Caenorhabditis elegans: one gene and its partner. The protein of the gene in region 1 purifies or fractionates together with the protein of each later gene. This does not show direct contact. Each region holds a gene or a part of one and is shown in the gene's direction. Other genes may lie near its edges.

Region 1 (4,322 bases):
AATTACAGCAGCTGCTCCAAAACCAAGACGGCTACGTGCATCATCGACAACTGGATCACCAGTCAGAACTGCCATGTTTGTTCCGGCTGCTGGTTTTGGTTTGCACATTAATCCAACACACAAGCACTGGAAAACATTTTTGATTTTCTATATTTAAATTTCATTTGAAGGTGGAATTGTTGAATTACTGTCAATAGATATGTGTAGGGGTGTAGAAGTAAAGTGCAAAACAATTACACTGAAAACGATCTTTAAATAGGATCACACCACTTGTTGGCTTCGGTTAAATTTTCTACTATTCTTTGGATTTTTTCACACTTTGTTTAATACCTCACTAATGTATAACTGGGCACTGATGTCCACCTTTAGAGATCAAAAATAGATTACCACTAGAAGCTCGGCAATGATTCCCACTGTGCACAAAAGGTAGGTAAAAAACAGTGCAGAAGCAGGAAGTGGGTTCCATTGGGATGCGATGAAATGATATGAACCAGAGAGTATAGCAGCAAAGAAGAGCACAGCAAAGTAAGATGTCCTGGAAAATATCGGAGGCATCAACTATTCATTTAACAAAAAATGTTATTCAAGATTTTTGCTGTGTCATTCTAACCATTTTCTTACCATGAATCACAAGGATTAAAGTTTTGTCTTTTCCTTGCAATTACAATCAACGCCGAGAGAAAAATCACAGATCCAATGGATGTAGTGAGGACTGCTGTAGTGTAAAACCAGTTGAAGAACATCAGAAAAACCATGTACCACCATCCATAAGCTCCAAGCATGATACTGTAGATAGCCAGTGCAATCTTGAACAGAGATGACAGTCCAAGTGGAATGTAGACAATAGTCAGAAAGACCTTCGTGATATCACGCTTCATTTTCAAAGAAAGCAGAAAGAAAACTGCGATGATTGAAACTTCAATTGCGGAGAGTCCAGCTCCAATTGGTCCTCCGTAAAATGCTTTCTTTGTGTAGAGTTCATCAGGAAAATCACAGCTTATCTTCACTTTTTTCTTCACAGTTGTTGAATTACAAAAAAGAGTGGTAAGTAAAGGAAGACCCGGGACTGGGTCCATGTCCGTCGACATGGTTACACGATCTTTATATCACTTCAATAGTTGGGATTTTATTGAAGCTGAGATTGAGAATAAGAAATGTGGCGAGTTGAGTGGCTAGATTGAACAGGTGAAATGCCATGTTGCTATGGTTACTCGTCACGAAGTTTCAGCTGTTCTTGGACGCAGATCTTGTGATATTGAAATTGGTTGTTGATGTAAAAAAAATTAAGACGGAGACACTAACGAAGCTAGCCAAAACAAACTTTTTACGGAAGGTTGAGCTTAATGTTAAGTGGGACATATACGTTTGATGGTACCTGAAACTACCAGGAAAGTATGATATTTTGCAAGTCTTTGAACTTTTGGGATCATTTTTGCTCTTGAACTCATCCTCTAATATATATCATAAGCAGCAAAAACAAAGTACTCGATTTTGCTGCTTATGATATACTATTTTTTGAAACGAGCGTTTTAAAGAAAATTGTGTACATTGTTTCGGTGCTCAATAGTTTCATTGTTACATACTTTGCAAAATGAAAGGGTTTTCCCTGTCGATCTCGAAATAGAAACCATTATGACGATCATCAATACACAATTGGACGCAGATTGTTAGAGGAATGGCATTGATAACAAAAATAGTCACAATATAAAAGTTGATCGTGTTGGGTAGAATGGGGTAGATACTACACATTTTCTGATATTCATATCATCTGACGAAACAATGCCCGCCAATTACGATTTCACTGACAAACGTATACTTGTCACAGGAGCAAGTCAAGGTAAGTCTTGAGATGTTGAAAAAGTTAAGATGGGTTGTTTCAATACAAACCAAATACACTTGTTTTGGGTTCCATTTAACAAATATGAAATTGAGATAGCTCACTACAGGAAATAGACTTGATATTTAGACAGAAAGTTATGTTGAGATAAGTTTTTGTACCACTCGGAGTTGGTGCCAACTTATTGCCCAACTTTTGACCTATAGTTGAAAACTTCACGGAAAACGTCAAATCTCTTTTCCGACGATTGTTCTATGTTTTGAGTTTAGATATGTTTGCAAGGTTTGAATTGAAGTTGACCAGGTTTTCCCTGGTCTAGTATAAGTTTATTTGTAGTTTGAAGTAAGGAAATGTTAAAAATTATCTGCTCAATTAAAAAAAACCATTAAACATTTGGAGCCACTGAATCAGTTTTCTGAAATCTCATGAAGATTTGTACTTTTTAAGTTTTCAAAATGTTTAATCCATATTAATTTAACATTTCAAATTTAGGCCAATGTGATAAAAGACCGATGGTCTCTCTGATTACTTCCGGTGTAATTATGATCTAGTTCAAATGGAGAGGAAAACGTTGATATACGATAATATGATAACACTATAATCTTTAATCAAAAATTTGTTGTATCATCAACATTTTATCATTCCGTTTGAAAATTATAATTATTTTACGATTATGTTTGAGGAAATTTCTGGCATTGAAAACAAGAGTACATCCTTCCTAGTCGGTAAAAAATATATTACGCGAACAAAGCTAAAAATAGAATAAAAATCGTTCATGAAGACTTCCGATGGGGTGATTGTGAATCATACATCACAATTTATCACATTTGCAGGAATTGGAAAAGAAATCTGCCTTTCGTTGGCCAAAGCTGGAGCGCAGGTTATTGCATTCGCGAGAAATGAAGCAAATTTGTTGAGTCTTGTCAAAGAGACTACTTCTTTGGTAAGTGAAAATATAAAATATTACACCAATCTGATTAAATTAATATTTCAGAGATATACAATAATTCCAATTGTTGGAGATGTGAGTGCCAATGAAGAGGTCCTTTTCAAACTTATCGTACCACATTTCCCAATTCATGGTCTTGTAAATAATGCTGGAATTGCAACAAATCATGCAATTGGACAAATTACTCAACAATCAATTGATAGAACATTTGCAGTCAACGTAAGGGGACCTATTCTCATTGCACAATTAGTTGCTAGAAACTTTGTGGATAGACAAATCAAAGGATCAATTGTTAATATTTCATCACAAGCAGCCATTCGTCCATTGGATAATCACACTGTTTATTGTTAGTTTAAAACTTTACTGAAATAATGTACATCTGAAAGTTCAGGTGCATCAAAAGCTGCTCTTGATATGGTCACAAGATGTCTTGCAAATGAATTGGGATCCCAGAATATTCGAGTTAATAGTGTCAATCCAACTGTTGTGATGACTGATATGGGAAGAGATGTAATAATTTTCAAATTGAAAAGAGAGCATAATTAGACTTTTTAGAACTGGAGTGATCCTGATAAGAAGAAGAAGATGCTCGACAGAATGCCGATCAAACGTTTTGCTGAGGTTGACGAAGTTGTGAATGCTGTCCTTTTCCTTCTTTCAGACAATGCTTCAATGACTACTGGATCCACTTTGCCTGTCGATGGAGGATTTTCGAATAACTAAAGTTTTTAATTTTAAGATTGAGACGATGTATATAGGTGAACAATAAATACATTTATTTACAAGAAGCTCGTAATTTAACATACATAGAAAAAAGATAAATAATATTTACTATTGTTTTGAATCTTTTCTGAACAACTTTTCAAATAATCCCTTTTTCTTCGGTGAGCTCGAGTTGCTCGGTGTTGACGCCTTGTTTGATTCCGAAGTTTGAGGAGGCAGATCTTCTGAATTTTCGGCTTCGTGAAGAATCTTTTTGAAAGTCTCTTCGTCTAAGGACTTCTCGTCTTCATCTTCATCTTCATCTACAGATAATTTTTCGTTTCTTCGATCCCAAAATCCACCAATTTCTTTCGTGATCTTATCATTCCATTGAATAGCGTCAAGAGACTTCTGACGAGCTGAAATTGTAGCAAAATTAAGAAATTAAGCTGGCAGTAAAAAGGTTTGTAAAAGACTGTGTTGAAGAAATATTCAAATTTTCGTTTTAAACTTACTAGATTTCATGAGAGTTCTGAGTTCAGCGGCATCATGTTCTTCTTGCTTCTTGGTTTCAGCTACACGTTGTTCTGCGTCTTGAAGAATACTGGAATACTATTGAATATGCGTAAAACTTTAAAAGTCTACAGCAGGGTTAGTACTTTTTTGGGGTTTGTTTATTTTTGTAATATTTCGACGAAAATTTGTTTTTTTTTTTGGTTTTTGTGACAAAACACCAAAAAACTAATTTTCTATATTTTAAACACTTTTCATATTTTACAAATGTTCTTTAGCAAACTGTGGTTTTCAGTTTTTGTAAAAAGTTCCAATTTTCGA
Region 2 (7,923 bases), on another chromosome or scaffold:
TCTGTTTAAAATTGCTAATAATCCGATTTTTTTTTTCGAAAATATTGTTTTTAAATAGCTAAAATTCAGCTGAATATTTCAGATTTTTCGGGAAAAATTCATTATAAACAGCCGAAATTCAGATTTTCCCCTTTAAAATCACGATTTTTCTAGGGAAAACTCAAGTCTTCTAGTCATTTTTAATGGGTTTTCCTGTTTTTTTAAATAAATTATAAATAAAGAAAAAGCCCGGAAATACTATAAAAAAGTCCTAAAAACCCCCAAAAAAATCAATAAATTCCCCAATTTGTTTTGCAGGTAAAAGTAGTGTGGGACGACAAGCAAGTCTACGACGCGTACTTCCGTGGAAAAGGACAGATGATCGAGTACACGGTCCGACTGGAAGATGGCCGAGAAGTCCGCCATCCACGGAACAGGCTGAAAACGAAGCGAGAACTGAACGCGTATCTCAAAAAATAGCTTTAATAAATAAATAAATATTCGATTTTTTAAAATTTACTATTAAATAGTCCCTGACAAAAAATTCTTGTCAAAATGTAATATATTCTCTCTTTCCCGCCCGTCTACCCTCAAATATGTGATCTCTGCGCCTCTTTTCCCCCCAGTTTTTTTTTGTACGAAAAGTCGAAGAATCTCTAATTATCCCTGTTTTTCTGTTTTTTTTCTGTATTTTTTTGTCATTTAAATATTTTTCGCTATTTTTCCCTATTATTTTGCAGAAACTTTTAAATGTTTTCCCCGAAATTGATCAATTTATCTAATAAACCTTTTTTTTTCCAAATGCCAACACACTAATCGCATTCTTATCAAATAATTCCGTCGAAAAATCAGAAAAATTGGCCAAAGATCACTTTATCCGATTTGTTGACTTCCTGTGAACACGTGTTGAGCTGACAGCTGCGTTGGGAGTGGGAAAATATTGAAAATAACCGGAAAACTCGTTCAAAATCCAGAAATTCTCTTTAAAAAACTGTTTTTTAATGAAAAAACCTTTCAAAATCCAGAAATTCTCTTTTCAAAGCTGTTTTTTAATGAAAAAACCTTTCAAAATCCAGAAATTCTCTTTAAAAAGCTATTTTTAATGAAAAAACAGTTCAAAATCCAGAAATTCTCTTTAAAAAGCTATTTTTTAATGAAAAAACCTTTCAAAATTCGAATTGGCGCCGGTGAATTGACACGGCAACTGCGTACTTTGCGGCCAATGCGCCACATTTGACGACAATTTTTCTTTATTTTTTTCATTGATTTTCGTTATTTTCTTGAGTTTTTGTCGGTTTTCGAGAGGAAAAATAAACTAATTTCTTTATTTTTTGTGGAAAATTCAAAAAATCGCATTAAAATATCTGTTTCTTCCAATTAAAACCCCAAAGATCACGGCTAATTCGATGACAAGGCCACCTTGATCGAAAAATATCGCTATAAACAAGAAAAAAACACGGGAAAACATCATTTTTCTCGCTTTTTCTCCCTCTTCCCTCCTCTCACCGCATACTTGCTCCCCCAAGCACTCATTTCGCCGCCACTCGAAGGAAAAACGATTTTCCATCTTACTTTTTGAAATAAAAATTCATTTTTTCAAGAAAAGAGTTCCGCCCGTGTTTTTGTTTTCTTTTTCTCCCTGCGTCTCTCCGCTGAGTGCAGATCTCTCGCACATAGTTTATCCCGAAAGAATACGTGGATCGATAGACGACGGGCGCCCCCATTTGTGGCTTCTCAGGCAATTGTCTCTCCAGTTTCACCGCGAGTTTTCCCGAATTTTCAGGTTTTCCATAATTTTTTCTGAATAAAAATTGATAAAATGCACTCATTTTTCTTATCAATTGTCACCGTTTTTATTTCACGTGTTTCAAAAAAAAAAGTTTTTATCGAAATTTTACATTTTTCCGTCTCATTTCAGAATCAATTCTCATTTGCTCTTGGGTTTCACAACCGTGCGGGAATCACGAAAAATGCTGAGCCGTCTTTCGCCTGCCAGGTAGGGAGGATTTTGCGTTGAAATTAGCTGAAATTCGAGAAATGTATTAAAAATGACTAAAAATTCAGATTTTCCCGGAAAAATCCATTTAAAACGGCTGAAATTCTGCTTTTCTCGGAAAAAATTTATGAAAAATGGGTGAAATTCAGATGGTCTCGGCAAAAATGCGTAAAATATCGATTTTTCTGCGAGAAATTGCAGAAATTGAAATTTTTACAGGTTTTCGTTGAAAAAGTCTACGAATTTTGACGAGTATTTAAAAAATTTGTAGATTTTTTCGATAAAAACCTATGAAAATTTCAATTTCTGCGATTTTTCTGCGATTTTGCCCAATTTTTCTTGGAAAATCTGAGTTTTAATCATTTTAAATTTATTTTTTCTAAAAAAATCTGAACTTCAGCCATTTTAAATGGTTTTCTCCGGGAAAATCTGCATTTCAGCCATTTTACTAGATTTTTTTCCGAAAAAGTCTGTATTTCTGGCATTTTGAATGAATTTTTGACATTTTTTATGGTTTTATTCCAGAAAAATCTGATTTTTAGCCGCAGTTGGTGGATTTTTCCGAAAAAATCTGAATTTCAGCCAATTTTTAATGGATTTTTTCCGGGAAAATCTAAAATTTCAACATTTTTAAAATGAATTTTCCGCCATTTTTTATGCATTTTTTCCTGGAAAATCTGATTTTAAGCCATTTGTAATCAATTTTTTTTCGGAAAAATCTGAGTTTTAGTCATTATAAATAGTTTTTTTTCTGGAAAAACAGATTTTTCGCTATTTTTAATGTATTTTTCCGGGAAAAAGTCTCAATTTGAGCCGTTTGAATGAGTTTTTCCAGGAGAAATCTGAATTTTCGCTATTTTCAATGGATTTTTTTTTGGAAAAAACTGAATTACAGCCGTTTTTAAGGGATTTTTTCCGAGAAAATCCGATTTTTAGCCATTTTTCATGAATTTTTTTCGGAGAAAATCTGAATTTCAGCCGTTTTTAATTGATTTTTCTGGGAAAGCTTGATTTTTAGCCATTTTTTATATTTAAAAAATTTGAGTTTCAGCCATTTCAAATACATTTTTTCCGTGAAAATCTACTGTTTTAGTCATTAAAAAAAATTTTTTCCAAAAAATCCGATTTTCAGCCTTTTAAATGGATTTTTCCGGGAAAATCTGAATATTTAGTCATTTTTTATGGATTTTTTTCCGGAAAATTTGAAATTTAGCCGTTTTAATGGCATTTTCCCAGAAAAATCTGAGTTTCAGCCATTTCGAATACATTTTTCCGTGAAAATCTACTTTTTAGCCATTTTAAATAGTTTTTTTTCTGGAAAATCTGAATTTTAACGATTTTAAATAAATTTTTTCCATGAAAATCTGAATTTTTAGCCATTATTTATGGATTTTTTTTTCCGAAAAATTTGAATTTCGGTCATTTTAAATGGGTTTCTCCGGGAAAATCTGAATTTTTGCCATTTTTTTCAATGAAAAACCAAAAATCCCCAAATTTCCAGCATCCGCCGTCTCTCCACATCAACACGATGCCTGAGCGACAAAAACGAGCCGGATCTCTCCGATCCCAAAACTCTGGCCCTTCACAAGCTCTACCGCCCGGAACGCACCACACCCCAGAAGCGAGGAATCGACCTGCTCAAGTCGCCCGGGCTCAATAAGGGAATGGCTTTTTCCCTCCACGAACGTCAATATCTCGGAGTTCACGGGCTTCTGCCACCCGCATTTATGACCGAAGAGCAACAAGCCTACCGTATCATCACAAAACTCCGCCAGCAACCTGACAACCTTGCCAAGTACATTCAATTGGACTCGTTGCAGGATCGTAACGAGAAGCTCTACTACCGAGTGCTCTGCGATAATGTGAAGGAGCTCATGCCAATTGTGTACACTCCTACCGTAGGACAAGCCTGTCAGCATTTCGGATTCATCTACCGTAACCCAAAGGGTCTCTACATTACTATTAATGATAATAGTATTAGTAAAATCCATCAGATTCTTGCAAATTGGCCGACAGAGAACGTCCGAGCAATTGTGATCACTGACGGAGAGCGGATCCTCGGCCTCGGCGACCTGGGAACCTATGGAATCGGAATTCCCGTTGGAAAACTTGCACTCTACGTTGCGCTCGCAGGGATTCGCCCGGAATGGTGTCTCCCGGTGATTCTCGACGTGGGAACTGATAACAGCGAGCTGCTCAACGATCCATTCTACACGGGGCTCCGTAGAAAGCGTGTTAGAGGTCCCGAATACGATACGCTCGTCGATAATTTTATGAAGGCGGCCACGAAGCGGTTCGGACGGGATACGCTGATTCAATTTGAAGATTTTGGAAATCAGAATGCGTATCGGTTGTTGGATCGGTATAAGGGAGAATATTGCATGTTTAATGATGATATTCAAGGTAGAATTTGGCAGGGGGGAAATTGAGGAAAAAAAGCGAAAAAATCGGAGAAAAAGGCTTTAAAATGCACATTTGAGAAAAAAAATTGCATTTTGGCCGAAATTTTTCAAAAAAAATCTGAATTTTCACTGTTTTCAAATATGAAATTCAGAATCAGCATACTTTTATTGCCCTGTGCGCCAATTTTCAGCTCATTTAGACGAAGAAATCTCGTAGAATCTGGTGTCTGGTACGCAAACACCGAAGCGCTGCGTACTTTCGGGGCTACAGTAACCCGGATATTTTCAAAATTGAGCTAGTAACTCGAAAAAAAAAGTACAGCCCGGGGTGAAGTTTCACGGGAAACTCGAATTTTGGAGTTTCAAAAAAATAGTGAAGCAAATTTGAGGGGATATATTCCTTTATAACTTTATATTTTAACTGCAAAATTCCGCCGTAAAAGTTTTCCGTAAAATTTCTTTACCCCTAGCCATGTAATTATTTTGGAGTCTCTAGCTCAATTTTGAAAATTTCCGGGTTACTGTAGCCTCAGAAGTACGCAGAGCTTCGGTGTTTGCGTACTTGGCACCGGATTCTACGATATTTCGTTTAAATGAGCTGAAAATTGTTAATTAAAGTATGCTGATTCTGAATTTCGGGTTGAAAATGTCGGAAAATTTCGGGAAATTTCGGATTTTTCTGGAAATTTCAATTTTTTAAAGAGAAATTTTGCTTCTTTTTTTTTTTGGGAAATTTTAATTTTTTGAAAATTTCGATTTTTTTGACCTTGAACTTGGAAATAAAAGTGAAAAATTGATTCTAAAAATAATAGTTTCCCAGGAAATTTGGATTTTTTCAATATAAAATAGGAAACAAAAAAAAAAGGTCTTTAAAAAATAGTTTTAAAAATTAAAAATTAAAAGTTCTTTTGTTTTCAGATTTCAGATTTGAAATTTTTGATTAAAAAAAAAAATTAAAAAATAGTTAGAAATAAATTTTGTAAAAAAAATTTTTTTGCAAATTTCCAGGTACCGCCGCTGTCGTCGTCGCCGGCCTGCTCGCCTCAACTCGTATCACCAAGAAGAAGCTCTCCCAGGAACGGATCGTCTTCCTCGGAGCCGGTGGAGCCGCCACCGGAGTCGCCGAAATGTGTGTCCGACAGATGATGGACGAGGGATTGTCGGAGGAAGAAGCTTGCGGTCGGATTTATATGGTTGATATTGAAGGACTCATCACGACGTCTCGTAGTAAATCTCTTGGCGAGAGACATGTGAAATTCGCTAAAGATCTTCCGGATACCAAGAATCTGCTGGAAGTTGTGAAGACTGTCAAGCCTGGAGCACTCATCGGAGCATCTACGGTGGCTGGAGCATTTACGGAGGATATTATTAAGGAAATGGCTCGGCTGAACCCGAGGCCAATCATTTTTGCACTGTCCAACCCTACAAGTAAAGCAGAATGCACTGCGGAGACGGCTTATCGCTGCACAAATGTACGGGATATGTAAATTTAGAGAAAAAACTGGAAAAATATGGAGAAAATCTGAATTTTTCAGATTTTTTGAGCTGAATTTACTGCATTTTTCATGGAAAAGTGAATTTTTAAATTCAAAAATTCGCCGTTTTTCAGATTTTTCCAATGAAAAGTTAGTTAAAAATTATTATTTTCCAGCTTTTTCATGGAAAAAAAATCAAAAATTTTTAAATCCAAATGTATAATTTTCCGGACTTTTTGTGTTAAAAATTAACCGTTTTTTTTTCAGATTTTCCATGAAAAAATGTTTTTTTTTTCAAATAAAAAACTTAAAAAATCTCAATTTTTACAATTTAGAGCCATTTTTCAATGAAAAACCTGAAAAATAGTAATTTTAAAGTCGCTTTTCAAAGAGAAATCTGGAAATCTGAAAATTTAAATTTTAAAATCTAAAATATATATCAATTTTTAGAATTTAGAGCGGTTTTAAATGAAAAATCTGGGAAAAAAGTAATTTTTAAATAGTAATAAAAATAATAACGAAAATTGGAAAAAAAAACTGGAAAAATATGGAGAAAATCTGCACTTTTTTAGTTGAGAAATGTAGAATTTGCCAATTTTCGCTTGATTTTTCATGGAAAAATTATTTTGAAATTCAAAAATTGACCGTTTTTTTTCAGATTTACCTTTTAAAAAGTGACTTTATAAATCAAAAATTAACCTTTTTTAATTGAAAATTAATATTTTCCACGGCAAAGAGAATATTTTAAATTTATTTTTCTTTAAAAAATCTGGAAAATGCCAATTTTAATTAAAAAAAAATCATTTTAAAATAATGTTTTAGTTTTTAATTTATTGAAGTCAATTTTATAATTTAAAGTTGCGTCGTTTTTTCAGATTTTTTACGGAAAAATGATTTTAAATTGAATTAAATTTTGTTTTTTAACAGAAAAATCTTTAAAAAGGTACAATTTCTTCCAATTGTAAGTTAATTTTTTCGAAGAAAATTGTGGAAAATGTCAATTTTAAAATTTATTCTTTTTAGATTTTTAGTTGAAAAAATGATTTTAGAATTTAATAAAAATTTATATTTTTCAGCTCTTTCGTGGAAAAATGATTTTAAATGGAATTAAAATTAATTTTCTATGGAAAAATTTGGAAAAATGTCAATTTTTAATCTTAAAAATCATTTTTCAATGAAAAATCTGAAAAATCAGTTATTTTTCCCTCCAAAAATACCCAATTTTTGCAGGGAGCCGTCCTCTTCGCCTCCGGATCCCCGTTCGAAAATGTCGAAATGAATGGAAAACTCTATAAGCCAGGACAGGGAAACAACGCCTACATCTTCCCGGGTGTTGCTCTCGGAGCCGTCCTCTTCCGTACCAAAAACATTCCGGACAAGCTGTTCCTTCTGGCCGCCCGTATGGTCGCCGAAGCCGTATCGGAGAAGTCGTTGAACACGTATTCACGTGTATATCCACGTCTGAAGGATATTCGAGAACTTTCGGTGAAAATTGCCGTAGAAGTTGGCGAGTATTGTTATCGACACGATTTGGCCACTTTGCACCCGAAACCCGATGATATGGTGCGGTTGTTTTTGAGTGGAAATTTGAAAAAAAAAAACGTCGGAAAATTTCGATTTTCCTGCAATTTTTAGACATTTTTTGCTGAAAAAAACATGAAAAACTGTTGAAAAATACCAAAAAAAAAAACTTTTCCCCGAAAAAAAGTGATTTTCCTCACTTTTTAATGCAAAAAATGGCCATGTGTCGATTTACGCGAATCGTGTACTCCTCGGAGAGAAAAGCAATTTTTTGAGTGGAAATTTGGAAAAAATCGGGAAAATTTCGATTTTCCTAGCATTTCAAGCTGAAAAAACATGAAAAATGGATGAAAAACATTTTTAAAAATGACAAAAAAAGACTTTTCCCCACCCGAAAAAATTGATTTTCCTCACTTTTTAATGCAAAAAATGGCCGTGTACCGATTTACGCGAGTCGTGTACTCCTCGAGGAAAAGAATAATTTTTCATGGAAAAAAGCATTTTTAGCTGAAAAACATGAAAAAATTTTGAAAAATACCTTCAAAAATGA

Evidence for each region.
Region 2: the proteins of dhs-21 (region 1) and men-1 fractionate together in Caenorhabditis elegans (co-fractionation; one large-scale study listed by BioGRID). This does not show direct contact.

Annotation. Positions count from the first base shown.
Region 1 is NC_003283.11:12,731,019-12,735,340, reverse strand, and holds dhs-21 (L-xylulose reductase), read left to right. Parts: upstream 1-1,695; 5' UTR 1,696-1,779; coding exon 1,780-1,837; intron 1,838-2,670; coding exon 2,671-2,780; intron 2,781-2,831; coding exon 2,832-3,132; intron 3,133-3,177; coding exon 3,178-3,296; intron 3,297-3,341; coding exon 3,342-3,509; 3' UTR 3,510-3,574; downstream 3,575-4,322. Other genes in the region: xbx-9 (XK-related protein), read right to left, coding at 1-126, 388-535, 622-1,088; zfyv-19 (FYVE-type domain-containing protein), read right to left, coding at 3,618-3,907, 4,004-4,092. UniProt on the Caenorhabditis elegans protein: Catalyzes the NADPH-dependent reduction of L-xylulose, D-xylulose, L-(+) erythrulose, D-erythrose, D-threose, L-ribulose, 1,4-dibromo-2,3-butanedione and 2,3-heptanedione.
Region 2 is NC_003280.10:14,227,830-14,235,752, reverse strand, and holds the start of men-1 (Malic enzyme), read left to right. Parts: upstream 1-1,897; 5' UTR 1,898-1,949; coding exon 1,950-1,975; intron 1,976-3,476; coding exon 3,477-4,378; intron 4,379-5,385; coding exon 5,386-5,849; intron 5,850-7,082; coding exon 7,083-7,415; intron 7,416-7,923. Other genes in the region: jmjd-2 (Lysine-specific demethylase 4), read left to right, coding at 298-459.